Drosophila melanogaster: one gene and its partner. The protein of the gene in region 2 interacts with the protein of the main gene of each other region in a pairwise test. Each region holds a gene or a part of one and is shown on either strand. Other genes may lie near its edges.

Region 1 (6,134 bases), about 14 Mb from region 2:
TTCGATTGGTTTATGACATTTGATTGAATATATTCTTGTGGCTTTCCCTCTTCTCGTGCGGCTTTCATTCATGCATTTCCTTTGTGGATGATTCAGTTTCATTTTCATTTTGTCTATGTTTTCGATTTCGAATTGGAGTTTCGTTTTCAATTTCATCTTAAGCCGGCTTCAAACGTTGAAGAGCCCTCGGTGTTTTGAACCCACATCCATTTTACAGCACCGGTCAAGTGCGATAAGTCGGTTAATTGCTGTTGAATGATGCAGCAACAAATTACATCGATCCGCTGTAATCCGCGTGACTTCCCCGACACAATTCTGATCGAAGAGATACATACAATATATTCAGCTATATGTATGTACAGCACCGTCATCGTCGACCTGCAGTTGGTGTAATTGTTACAATGGCCCAAAACACTTGACATTGGCCCTTTGCGAGGGCGACATTGAAACCACGCTTCGAAGGCCCTCCCCCGAAAACATTAAGAAATGAATAAATATGGGAAAAATGATATTTGTAGAATGGCGGAAGGGAATGAGGTATGGAATGGTATGGTCTAAGGTAATCTCTAACGATAATATTGACAGATTCTTCGGCAATCAAATAGTGCAGAGCAAATGGGCAAACACATAATAATAATAATAATAATCTCCGAACGCCAATCTTCAGCTCTTTAACGATCAATGACCATTGTCAGGGCCCAAAACGTCGAACATATCCGGCTGGGAGTGTCGAACACGTCTGAAGACGTCTTAACTTGGCCAACGGCGTTTCGTCAAATATGTGTTAATGCGGTTCGATTGCGTTCGATTGACCATCGAACTTCTTTCGGCCGCCCTGCTAATTTTTTGTATAAATACTTAAAACGATTTCAACAGCAGCAGCAAAACGCAACCACAGCTCCAATCGATTGAGCAGGTCAGATCCAGATCGCAGAGCAAGTGAAGCAAACATTTAAGTTACAACAAAGATGGTAAGACATAGTGCAGAATTAACATTTAATAAAACACAGTTAACTCTTTGAAGAAAGATACACATTCTGAAATGAAAAACTTTTTTCTTATCTAAATTTTAATAACTTTTCATTCATTTTAACAGACGAAATTCTATTGTATAAAAAACTGAAGACATTTTATTGTTAAATTTATTTTTTCTTTTTATTTAATGAAAGTTGATATTGTTCATGTGGCCTTTCCTTTGTTTCCAGCAAGGATTCAAGGAGATTTGCCTGCTGTTGGCCGTCGTGAGCCTGGCCAGCTGTCGTTCAGTGGTTCGCCGTGATGTTAGCCACCTGCCGCTGGAGTATCTGCCTCCAGTGGAGCTGCCACCTGTGCCCAGTCGCGATTACTTGCCGCCGGTGGAGCAGCATGCCGCCACCCTGAACCATGTCCTTCAGCCGCCCCGTGATTACCTGCCTCCGCTGAACAACGAGTACTTGCCACCTGTGGTGGAGGAGGAGCAGAAGCAAGAGGTGCCCACCACAACCGAGGTAATAATTCCAGAAGAAACCACCACAGCGGAGCCAACCACCGAGGCAGTTATCATCACCACCGAACAGCCGCAGGAAGCGGAGATAATCACGGAACCGCAAGAGGAGGTGGAAGTGAAAACCGTGGAGGAGGAGGAGCCCGAGAAGGAGGTGGAGTCCGCAGTGCTCCTGGACGACGGATACCACTATCGTACTCCATCTGTGGTTCCGAATCTGCTGCCCGTGAAGGAGTATCTGCCTCCCTTGGACGGCAATGCCGTTGTGGAGGAGCTGCCCAATGGCGAGGAGGACTCCTCGGCCCTCCTGGACGATGGATACCATTATCGCTCCGTGAAGCGACTCCGTTTCTAGTCCGTAACACTTACTGTATATTCCACTACGAATTTCTGTTTCTGTTCTGTGCGACAATTGTTGTTTAATTTTACAAAATACATAGACAAATACTTTCCCGACTCTGTTGGTTTCACACGATATTGGAAAGTGGCTCAAGTGATCAGGTGATGCGACTATAAAGTACCCAGTACTTAGTGTCGTATTAGTCAAAAGAGAGCAAAATGTAACATTTTTTATTAGCATGTTTAGAAATCCTTGGTAAACAATATTAATTACTCACTGTGCTCATGCATGTGGAATTACTTCAGAGTTTCACGTCATTCCTCTAACTAATATACCCATTTAACCCTACTCATACCTCGCAGCAACTCGATTGCTGCCGTGAACATTTCATTTATATTGATGACAGGAAATTAGAAAAATGTTTTCACAATGCGCACGGAACGTCGCAAGGAACTCTTCTGCGTGAGATATTGTCGCAGTCCTGCGAGGTCCTTGCTGCGTGAGTCCTTTGGGCCTGCCACACCTCCCTGACCACCACCACTCCCAATTGATTTGCGGCGGATTGTGCCCGGGTTTTATTGTTTTCTTTACGTGTTTGCCGCTTGGCATACATTTCCATTAACCAATCTTGAGGAAAGTTTTCCTGTTACTGCGTTTTCCTTACTTTTCCACGGACAACTTTGAGTCAGTTCAATAATTCAGCAAATTTCCAATTGGCCGTATAAATATTTGAAAAGTTTTAAATGTTATTCTTGTTTTGGCGGCCTGTTTGTGCTGTGCCCAAATATATATGGGATTTTTATGTTTCCGGCGGTTAGCCGTTGTCGATTTTACTAATGAATAATTCAGTACGAGGAACAGGAAAATTGTTTGCCTACTTTTACGCGCAGTTGGAATAAAATTGAGAAGCAACAAGTGTCAGAAATTTTGTGGATTCTTTGCACATTCGTTGTTTTCCTTGAGATATCAAAAACAAATAAAAATCCAAACCAAAAAGCTTTAAGTGCATTGCACTCTACCGAATTTTTCTTTTCATTCCTTCCTCATTTTCCGTATCTTTTTTTGGTGGTCATAAACCTCAACAAATCGGGGCCAAAACAAACACCTGTAAACAGTATCCGATTGAAAGAATCGCCCAAGTTTCGTTGAGTGTTGAAGGCGGGAAAAGCTTGCGGAAAATGCGAGAAAAGCCTGCCGAAGCTTTGGCCATTCAACATTCGACGAAGCGACGACTGGGAAAATCGTATATAAGCCGTCTGCCGAGGAAAATTCAACTTAGTTGCGGGTTTATTGTTGCCGAATGTAAACGGAACGGAATCTGAAGAACCGGAAAATGCGGCCCGGCTGAAGACAGTGAGTGCGAGCGAGCGAGATACAAATATTCGGCCGAGCAACAGTGAAAAGCGTTTGAAGGGCCATAGATACAAGATAATGCCCCATAGAGGAGTCCATCTCCTCTCCGCCAACCGATATGTGAAAATCGGCCAGTGGAGCCGAAAGTGAAAGTGTGTGGAGAGGTGAGGGAACGGTGCATCAAAAGAGTGATAATGGATAAAACAACTTCAGATACTTGTAGTACTATCGAGTTTATGAGACAAGTCGAAAACGAAATCGTTAACAGGCTAACACAGAATTTAAGTACAGAGTTCTTTGAATTGAAGGTGGTCTTTAAACTTTAAACTTTATTTTATTTGTGTGATGTAAAAGCGTGAACACATTTTTGTAAACACTTTTTAAGAAAACTTATAAATTTCATGTTTAAAAGATCTTCCCAAAAAAGAAGTGCAACGAGCAAAGAAAAGCGTATGCAACAGTATACAATTACAGTCTATACAAAACATATAAATTTAAGAATGCATTGTTTTTAAAAACAATTAAACAAGAAACTATAAACCAATAAATAATCCCTTTCATGCATAAAAAAATATATATAGACTTAAAAAAAAAAACCAGCGCAGTGGATTTGAAATGTAATGTAACAGAAGCATGAAAAAAGCAAAATTAAATTGCGCGATAATAAAATCGGCAAACCAAACTAATTTGTAAACATAACAAGTATTACAAGAATCTTTAAGATAAATAAGATGGAAAATTCACAATGAGCCCAAAAAATGTGACGCCACAAATCATTTGCACACATAAATCAAAATTACCATAAACGAAACGAAATACCCACTGTGAATAAAGATGAACTCGAGGAGCCGCAACAACTCGAATAAATCGAAATTAAATATTAATTAAGGCCGCATTAAAATTGCAAAATAAATTGAATAACCGAAATAGCTGCAAACCGAATGGCTTGTGAAGAAGAATGTGGCCAAAAGAAAACACATTTTACACACTTAATTTAATCACAAAACTCTTTACGCTGCTCTCTCATTCGCAATTAAAATGCAATTAATTTGGCAACAAATGCTGCTGCTGTGTTAAAGCAGTTAAAGCCATGTTTGTGCGAAGTTGGTAAAGTCAGTCGGTCGGCAGTTTTGAAATGTAATATTCAATTAATTCCATCCGATCGGCAACTTAATACTACAGCTAGTTGGCTTAGCAGCTTCATTCAATTCGTCTTTCGCACGAAATGCATTTTCCCTTGATTTTCCAGCGCTGCAAAAGGGCTGCTCTTGTTTCTGTGTTGTATATCTCGTATTTGTTGTTCGCCTCCGTGGGCCTCAGCAGAGAAAAGTTTATTAATAAACAGTTTTGCCTAACAAAGCAAAAAAATGATAAAATAAACGCGACGCAGACAGGCGGTTTAGGGTGGTAAAAAGGGAAAACTGTGGGTGGGTGGTTTGGGTGCTAAATGTCATTGTCAACGGTTTTTCATAGATTGGAAAGGTAGTTTATGGGAGTAACTTTTTCTGCATTAAGCGCTTCTTATGGAATTCAAAACACAAAGTTCACAAAAGGATGATTCAATTTTAAATTCCATCAAGTCCAAGAAATGGAAATCATTAGTGAAGGTTTTGAAACCTTAAAGTTAAAGTTTTTAAATAATATAATATTGTATATATGCCTACTTTTAGTTTTATGATTAATTTATGAAAACACTTGTTGTCGAAGTAAGAAATTTTCCGGTTTAAAACTGGAATTCTTACTTAATTTCCATGTATTTATTTAGTTGCTATAGATAATGAAGAAATCCAACATGTTTGCTAACGAGAAAATAGGAATTCAGCAAGTTTTAATTGGTTGTAAATAATATAATATAAAATTCTATATTCCATTGTTATGAAATTCGATTACTGCATTGCTGCCAAGAGTATTCAAGAGTATGTATTCTCTGTGTGTCGGCATGCATTTCTGTGCCTGTGGCCGTGTGTTTGGCACGCTTTTTGTGTTTATTAATAACAAAGTAATCAGAAATTGTAATCTCCTCGCAAAGCGTATTACAGCAGTAATAACAATGGCAAGACCACAACCACAACATAACCCCACCGCCCCATTTCAATCGCAATACCAACTCAACCCCCCGCACCGCACCACCAATCCCATTCATTTGGTGATTTCAATGCGGGTTTATCTTTGCCGCTTGGCTGTCTTTACGGGCTGCATCCTTGAGTCCTGGGATCCTTGATTCATTGTTGTGCCGCCAACCAGCCAGCGAGCGAGCGAGCACGCTTCCGGCTCAAGTATCTCTGTTTTTGTTATGATTTCCCCGCATTGTATGTATATATTTTCATATACTTTATATAGATTTGCTGTTTATTTCTGTTTTCATTATTTTCTAATTTGACGCTTCATTTGTCCATGACTGATTTCTATGTTTTTTTTTTTACCCTAACAGACGGGTATTTTCTCATCGCATGCTGCAGAAAAACTGTGATGAGGAATTATATTAAAAGCTGAGACAATGCTTTTAGTTCATGTGAAACCTAATCAGTTAATATTCTCATTTGTATGTCCAAACTAATAACTAACTTTAGTTAAATATTTTATGTTTGTCAAAAAACGCAAATGTTTAGAAGGGTGTTATTTTGGTTTGCTAACGAAAAGCTTAATATACTTCTCGTTGTTTTTCCGTTTTATTTTTTTTTTCGTTCGTCCTGTTTTCTAATTTGACTTTTGCCGGGCGCTGATTTTCGCTTTGATTTTCGCCGACTGATTGGGATTTAGTTGATGGGGGCAGGGGATTCAGTGGATTGGGGGGGGGGAGTCATTTGATATTGGGCCATATTCTATTGATGACTGAATGGCGTGTCTTTTTGCCTCTCAATCATTCTGTTCGGCTCGGATTTGTTATTTGTACTCTTGCCTTTTTATGTAATTTCACCTATGTCAGTCAGTCAGTTGGCTCGCTCTTCCCAACTGCAA
Region 2 (6,141 bases):
GACCTTTAATGGAATATAAGGATGAGATAATGATATTGGTAAGGAGACTCTATGGTGATCTAACCTTCTGTAGGTGACTTTCAAAGCCCGTTGACTTGTTGATAATCTCGGTGATGTGTTTAGCGAATTCGAGTCCCTTCTTGCGAGTTCCCATATTATTTATTGATGTTGCTTTACAGACGATCCGCTAGCTTCTATATAACTACAAAATGAATTAGTTTGTCCGATCGGAACGATTAGAAATATACTAGATTTAGTTTTGTAGATAGATAAGTAGTCGTAACGTGCACTTATATCTCAAGTGTCAGATAGTAATTGTTTTACAATAGAACAATCCAACTTTATTGTATGTATGACGTGTGTAAGTTTGGATGGGACTAAATCCATTAAAAAATAAATCACAGTAGTATATTAACAAATGGATTGCTTTGATTTTTTCAATATTTGATTTCATTATCTTCGAGTGCAGTTTTCCGCTTTTCGATGAAAAGTAAACAATTAGCAAGTATCAAAAAATAAGGTAAACATAATATAGCACGATATTATGAAATAGTTAGTATTTAGTTAACGGATCCTACCTAACTATCCCCGTACTGCCCGAAATTTACATAAAAATCTGAAAATCTAACGTAACACCTAACAAAACAATTTCAAAACAAACAACAGCTGTTTTGCGATAAGCAGAATCGCCAATCGATAAGTTAAAAGGGCAAATCGATATGCAAAGTCCTACCTATTTAAAAATTATCCGTTGGGATTTCTATAGTCTTTCATCTATTTTAGTTTTAAATATCTTTATTTTGTAAATTAAGAAATAACTAACTTAAGAAATAATAAATAATTAAACTAGTACGTCTTAAGCAGAGGTTCGAAAGATTTTATTTCGTTTTCTGACGATCTACAAAAATTGTTTTAAAAATCCAGTTTTTCCTTGTCGAACTGAATGTACTTGACCTGTCCGCCCTTGGCGATGATCTTTCCATCGGACTTACGCCTCAGAATGCAGTCCAAATAGGCCATTTTCTTACCGGCCCGCACGGTATTACAATCAATTTCAATAAGTTCGCCAGGTTTCGCTGCTGCAATGTAGCTTACATTCAGGTTGGCCGTAACTCCGGGATGGGATCCTTGAAATTTAAAAAAATTTCATTGTAGATTCTATAGATTGTAATAAACAAACTTTCAAAATACCTTTCGACATAAGGGCATATGTGGTACAATTATCAACAATTGTTGCCGTAAGACCACCGTGCAAAGTTCCTTGGCGATTCAAATGCTCATTGGCCACAGTGAACTCCCCTATTGCGCGACCATCTCCACCGCCTGTAATTTTAATCTGCGAATTGAAATTTGTTTACATTTTTGAATCTCTGAAGATCCCACGAGAGAGGTGAGCACTTCACGGTTATCGATTGCAGCGAGCTGAATTATGTAATACCATCACTGATGACAGTCAGCTGTTTTTGAGAGACTTCGACGGCGTCGCTTTAAAATCGGCTGCACAAATTGTTTAGAATCTTACCATTTTCAAGACGCGGTCGAATCCATTGGACCCGCTGGCGTACTCGGACATCTGCTTCACAAAGTCCTTTGAAAAGAAAGAACTTCAGTTATCTACTCAACAAGTTACATGGTGCTCTAACCATTCCCAGTTTCTTGGCCGCCATTCCGGTGGATTTGGATTCCTGAACTGAGCACGACGAAATGACGAAAGTTACTGAGGGAGAAATTTCACATGGCGTTCAAGATGTCGGGAAATGTGAGTGTATGCGTGCTAAATAGATATACCCACACATCTGAGATAGTGATTGCCGATTTCGCGCGGTTTGTTGTGCTCGCTCTGTTCGCACTTACAAATAATTCCTATTCTTCAATGAAATAGTGTAACTGGAATATCTTGTAATATAATTGCAGTTTGTTATTGCAATTAATAAATGTTTAATTTCGTTCTAGATTATCTGGATTTTCACCTTCTAGCCAAAGGATTCGTCCGCCAGGACTCGGTACACGACTTTGTAAACAGCGATTCCGATGGAGACTTTATAGCACTGAGCGGCTCCAAATCGGAAGTGATCACTCTGGAATTGAGCAGCAAGTTCATGGTCGTGGATCCCTTTCCGTATTTTGTGGCCATTTATGATTCCAACGCTGCGGAAACACGACCTCTGGACGTTTTGGCCAACAAAGTGGATCTGGTTGCCATATACGACAGCTGCGATGTCCTGGAGGCACAGCACTTGGCCCTGGACCCGGCATACACGGCTGTGTGCTCCGTTGCCGTGCCACCAGCCAGACTAACAGCTGTTAAGCGAGCACCCAAGCTGGCAGCTAATGGAAATCTCCTCCTGGGCTCCCTCAACACTTATGGATCCTTGAGCCTAATAAACAAGTCCGCTGAGTACAATCGTTGGAACCCTGTGGAAGGACTAAATATCGCTGAAACTCTGAGGGACACTCTGCTGCCTGAAGTGGACATCGCCAAGATAAAAGACTTTAAGAGCTATCAAGAATATATTAATCCCGCCTGGATCACTATGTTTGCTTGGTTACCTGATGATGCAGATGCCACTGGCCAGCATGTTTTGGTTCTGGGAACAGCCGCAGGAAGTTTGTGGTTGCTCACACTAAGCGCCGATGTCAAAACTCTTTTAAGTCATCAAGAAACGAAAACCTCAATGGGTCGTATCTGCCATATACAAGCTTTCAAGGACCTTCTACTGGTGGGCGATAGCAACGGACTCATTCACCTGTACCAATTGCCAGCTAAGGGAAATACAGCTCTCGCCTTAGTGAAGCCCTTGTGGGAGAAAGCCGATCGCATGGGTCTGCAAATGGCAGTGATCACTGAATGTCCCAGAATGGATTGCTATTATATAACCTGCTGCAAGGCGGCGCACCTGCTGACCTGGAGCATGCCAAGAACGGGGAGCACAGACTGCCTGCAAGCTCGGATCTATGTCGGCGGAATGAAGATCACCGCTCTCTGCAGCCTGGAGAACAGTAGCTACGTTGCAGGAACCGCTGGAAGCTGTTTGTCTTGCGTACAAATTATCCACGAGAATAATCAGCTTAGCCTGCAGATGCAATCGATAGCCATGGGTGTCCTTCAGGATTTCCAGGTGATGGGACTGTGCACCAGTAGGCACAAGAACTTAATGACCCTGTTACTCTACCGCAACAAGGAATATCTAAATGAAACTGTATCTCAAAAGAACCAGTTGGTTATGCAAGTGCTCAAGGTGGGGAATCAGGATCCACTTGATCAGCTTGTCAGGCATCTGGAATCCAATAAGCCCATGAATCACTATACCGATTTATTAGCTGGACTACGTCTGCACGTTTTTGCCGAGGAGAATTGGCAAAAATTTATGGACTTTTGTCCATTAGATTCCATTGAATTTGCCGATACCGCCACTGAAGGTCAGCTGCAGCAGCTGCAAATTAAATTTCATGTTCTTCAAAACGTGATTCGCCTGCAATCGAGCCACCTCCAGCTGACAGTTCACATCCAAAAGTCCCGGGATGAACTGCAGCTGCTCCTTGCGATGCTGAATATCACACACATAAGACTGAGGCTCCAGTTTATTGGGTCATTAAGTAAGAGATCACCATTCCAGGAGCAGGCGATAAAATGTATGTTCGAGGAGGCCCACAGACTGATAAATAAACTCAATGACGACTTCACGGAAAACCATGCCCTAGGATCCACAGCAAGGACATTCGTTGAACAAATGGGCAACCATATTCAGCACTTGCACGAGATGCTAGGTATACCTGTGATATCTAATCCCCAGAAGCAACTTCATCGATGCAGTGTGTCCTTTGTGGAGGTAAGAATTCACTAGAATTCATTTTAAGACAAGACTACAGTATCCGTACAGATCTCCCTCAGCTTGGAGCGACGCTACTGCAGCCTCTGCAACCGCCAAATCCTATTCGAGCTGGACAATCTGCAAGAACTCTACGAGTCGGGGAGACATCTGACATGTCCCGTTTGCCATGGAAGCTTTGCCACGGAAATGTTTAATGCATAAACGTTAAATTTATTCTCAATCTTAATTACGAAGTGTTTTGTGTGTCCGCCTCTAAGAGCAAAGCAAGTGAATCCATGGAGACACCTCACTCGGCTTCCAGATGCCGACACACATGGTCAGAAAAGGTGTGTGTGTCATTGTTAGTACTCGGAAACATAGATAATGGGAGTGGTCTCGATTAGCAGAATGTCCTGCTCCACCTGGCGAAGATCGGACTCCAGCTTGCTTTTGCGCTGCCGCTTGGCGATGCTGTCGATAAGGAGCGACATCGACTGATACTGCTTGGTCATCTCGGTCAGGCTCAGTCGCAGTCCCTCGAGGATCTCATTTCGCTCGGCCTGCTCCATCACCCGCATACCCGGCATTGGCGGCGGACCACTTGATTGGACGGATGCCCTGGTGAAACCCTTGATACCGCGGCACAGCTCCAGCAAACGTGCCTGTTCCTTGGCACACACCGCATTCATGTCGGCCAACATCCTCTTGGTTTTCTTGAGGTAAACAGGCACCTTGCCGAAATCCTTGCGGCAGATAAACTGCGGTACCAATCCGGAATTGAGTAGATCGTGACGAGCTCCCACGGGAGTGTCTACATAACGAGGTGGCGGGGGACAGGGAACCGTTTGTCCGGCACATATCTTGTTGCGTTTGATGAAGTTAGGTACCATTGCCGGCTTTTTGCCGCCACTGCCCGGTGGTGGTAGTGGGGGCATTGGCGGCATCTTGGGACACTTGTGGGTGTTCTCTCGCCGCCATTTGATGCCCTGGCTCTTGCGCAAATAGGCGCACGGTGGGTCAATCGGAGTGTGAGCACAGCCCATGGTGCGGTGGGCTGATTTCTTGGCCTCTGTCAGGACGCGGGTTCCATCGTTCTGGAGGATAATCGATAGCTTCTTGTCCTCCTCGTTAAAGCGTTCGCGAAGTCTCTTGGCATACTTGGCTGCCCTCTCCACAACAGCTGCAAAATTGCTTAAAGTTAGGTGGGAGGTAACGATTTTTAGTACGAATCCCTACGATTTTTGTAGACAAAAATTGATTCCTTAGGTCCTTGGGCCTTCACAAAGTCCTGCTCGCACTCGAGAATATTCTCATCGTGATGGGTGATATAAACCAGGGACATTGTAATACAAATATGTAAGGATGAAGGTAGGGAACTCGAAAGCGTGCTAGTTTACTGACTATTCGTTTAATAATAACAGTCTGTTTGGTGGAGACTCCTGCGTTGCCAAGTACCTCTGCGTTGACTTGGATTGATTTAACTCGAAACAAAGGTTGCTATAGGATTTCCAGAATAAACAGAAGGCAACATCGTTTCCTGGTGATATTGTAATATTCAGATATTTTCTAGCAATCGGAATTCGATATTTGTTCTGGATCTTTTAGGAGAACACACAAAATTGGTATTATTGTATATATATTTTTTAAAGCACAAAATCAAGCTACAGCTTGTGTCGCACACGAGTTACATTATTAAATTGTAAATAATTTGTTACCATATAAAATTCGTGTATATAAATATTTCGCTTGCGTATATAAAATAATTGTTTGCATTGTAAAATTAGCACTAAGATCGTTTGTCATGGTTACATTTTGATTCCGAAGCTTAACAATAAACATGGAAGTGTTGGAAGCACGATTTAAATACGAATACGACATAGATTCAGATACGGGTTACAGATTACAGATTCAAAACAGCACACAGAAATGCTGGTGCCGTCTTACAAGCTAGATATGTGGTTTAATGAATAATGAATTTGACGATGTTAACGAATGTAAAAGCCACTCGAAATTTGCACTGTTTTTGGATGGGGTCAGCTCTCCTCAGCTGACCACCAATAGGCACTACGAAAATCTCGGATCAGCAACATGGTCCTTCCTTTGCTATTGCACGTTGACAAGTAGATGTACTGGAGATATGATTTCATTTAGCTGAACCAGCAGTTTCACTTGTTGCCGCTGCTCTCGCGCTCCTCTCGAATCCTCTTAAATGCCTCCGTCTTGACAAAGTCCACGGATCTATAGACCACGCTGCTAGGCACTGGCGCTCGAGCTCCGCCAGCTTCGACGCCTGCGAATCGCATTCCACTAGCTCCATTTCCGCCTTGTG

The links. Proteins that work in one complex are often made in the same cells at the same time.
Region 1: the proteins of CG16985 (region 2) and CG43373 interact in a two-hybrid assay, tested with the Drosophila melanogaster proteins (one large-scale study listed by BioGRID).

Annotation. Positions count from the first base shown.
Region 1 is NT_037436.4:16,540,371-16,546,504, reverse strand, and holds the start of CG43373 (uncharacterized protein), read left to right. Parts: upstream 1-3,134; 5' UTR 3,135-3,340; intron 3,341-6,134. Other genes in the region: CG13033 (uncharacterized protein), read left to right, coding at 969-971, 1,206-1,838.
Region 2 is NT_037436.4:2,594,883-2,601,023, reverse strand, and holds CG16985 (uncharacterized protein), read right to left. Parts: upstream 1,705-6,141; 5' UTR 1,668-1,704; coding exon 1,644-1,667; exon of another isoform or gene 1,589-1,643; coding exon 1,523-1,588; exon of another isoform or gene 1,445-1,522; intron 1,337-1,444; coding exon 1,192-1,336; intron 1,128-1,191; coding exon 913-1,127; 3' UTR 782-912; downstream 1-781. Other genes in the region: CG16986 (uncharacterized protein), read right to left, coding at 1-3, 65-154; CG12182 (uncharacterized protein), read left to right, coding at 1,705-1,759, 1,954-3,830, 3,882-4,034; CG16984 (uncharacterized protein), read right to left, coding at 4,175-4,992, 5,049-5,154; dos (daughter of sevenless), read right to left, coding at 5,978-6,141.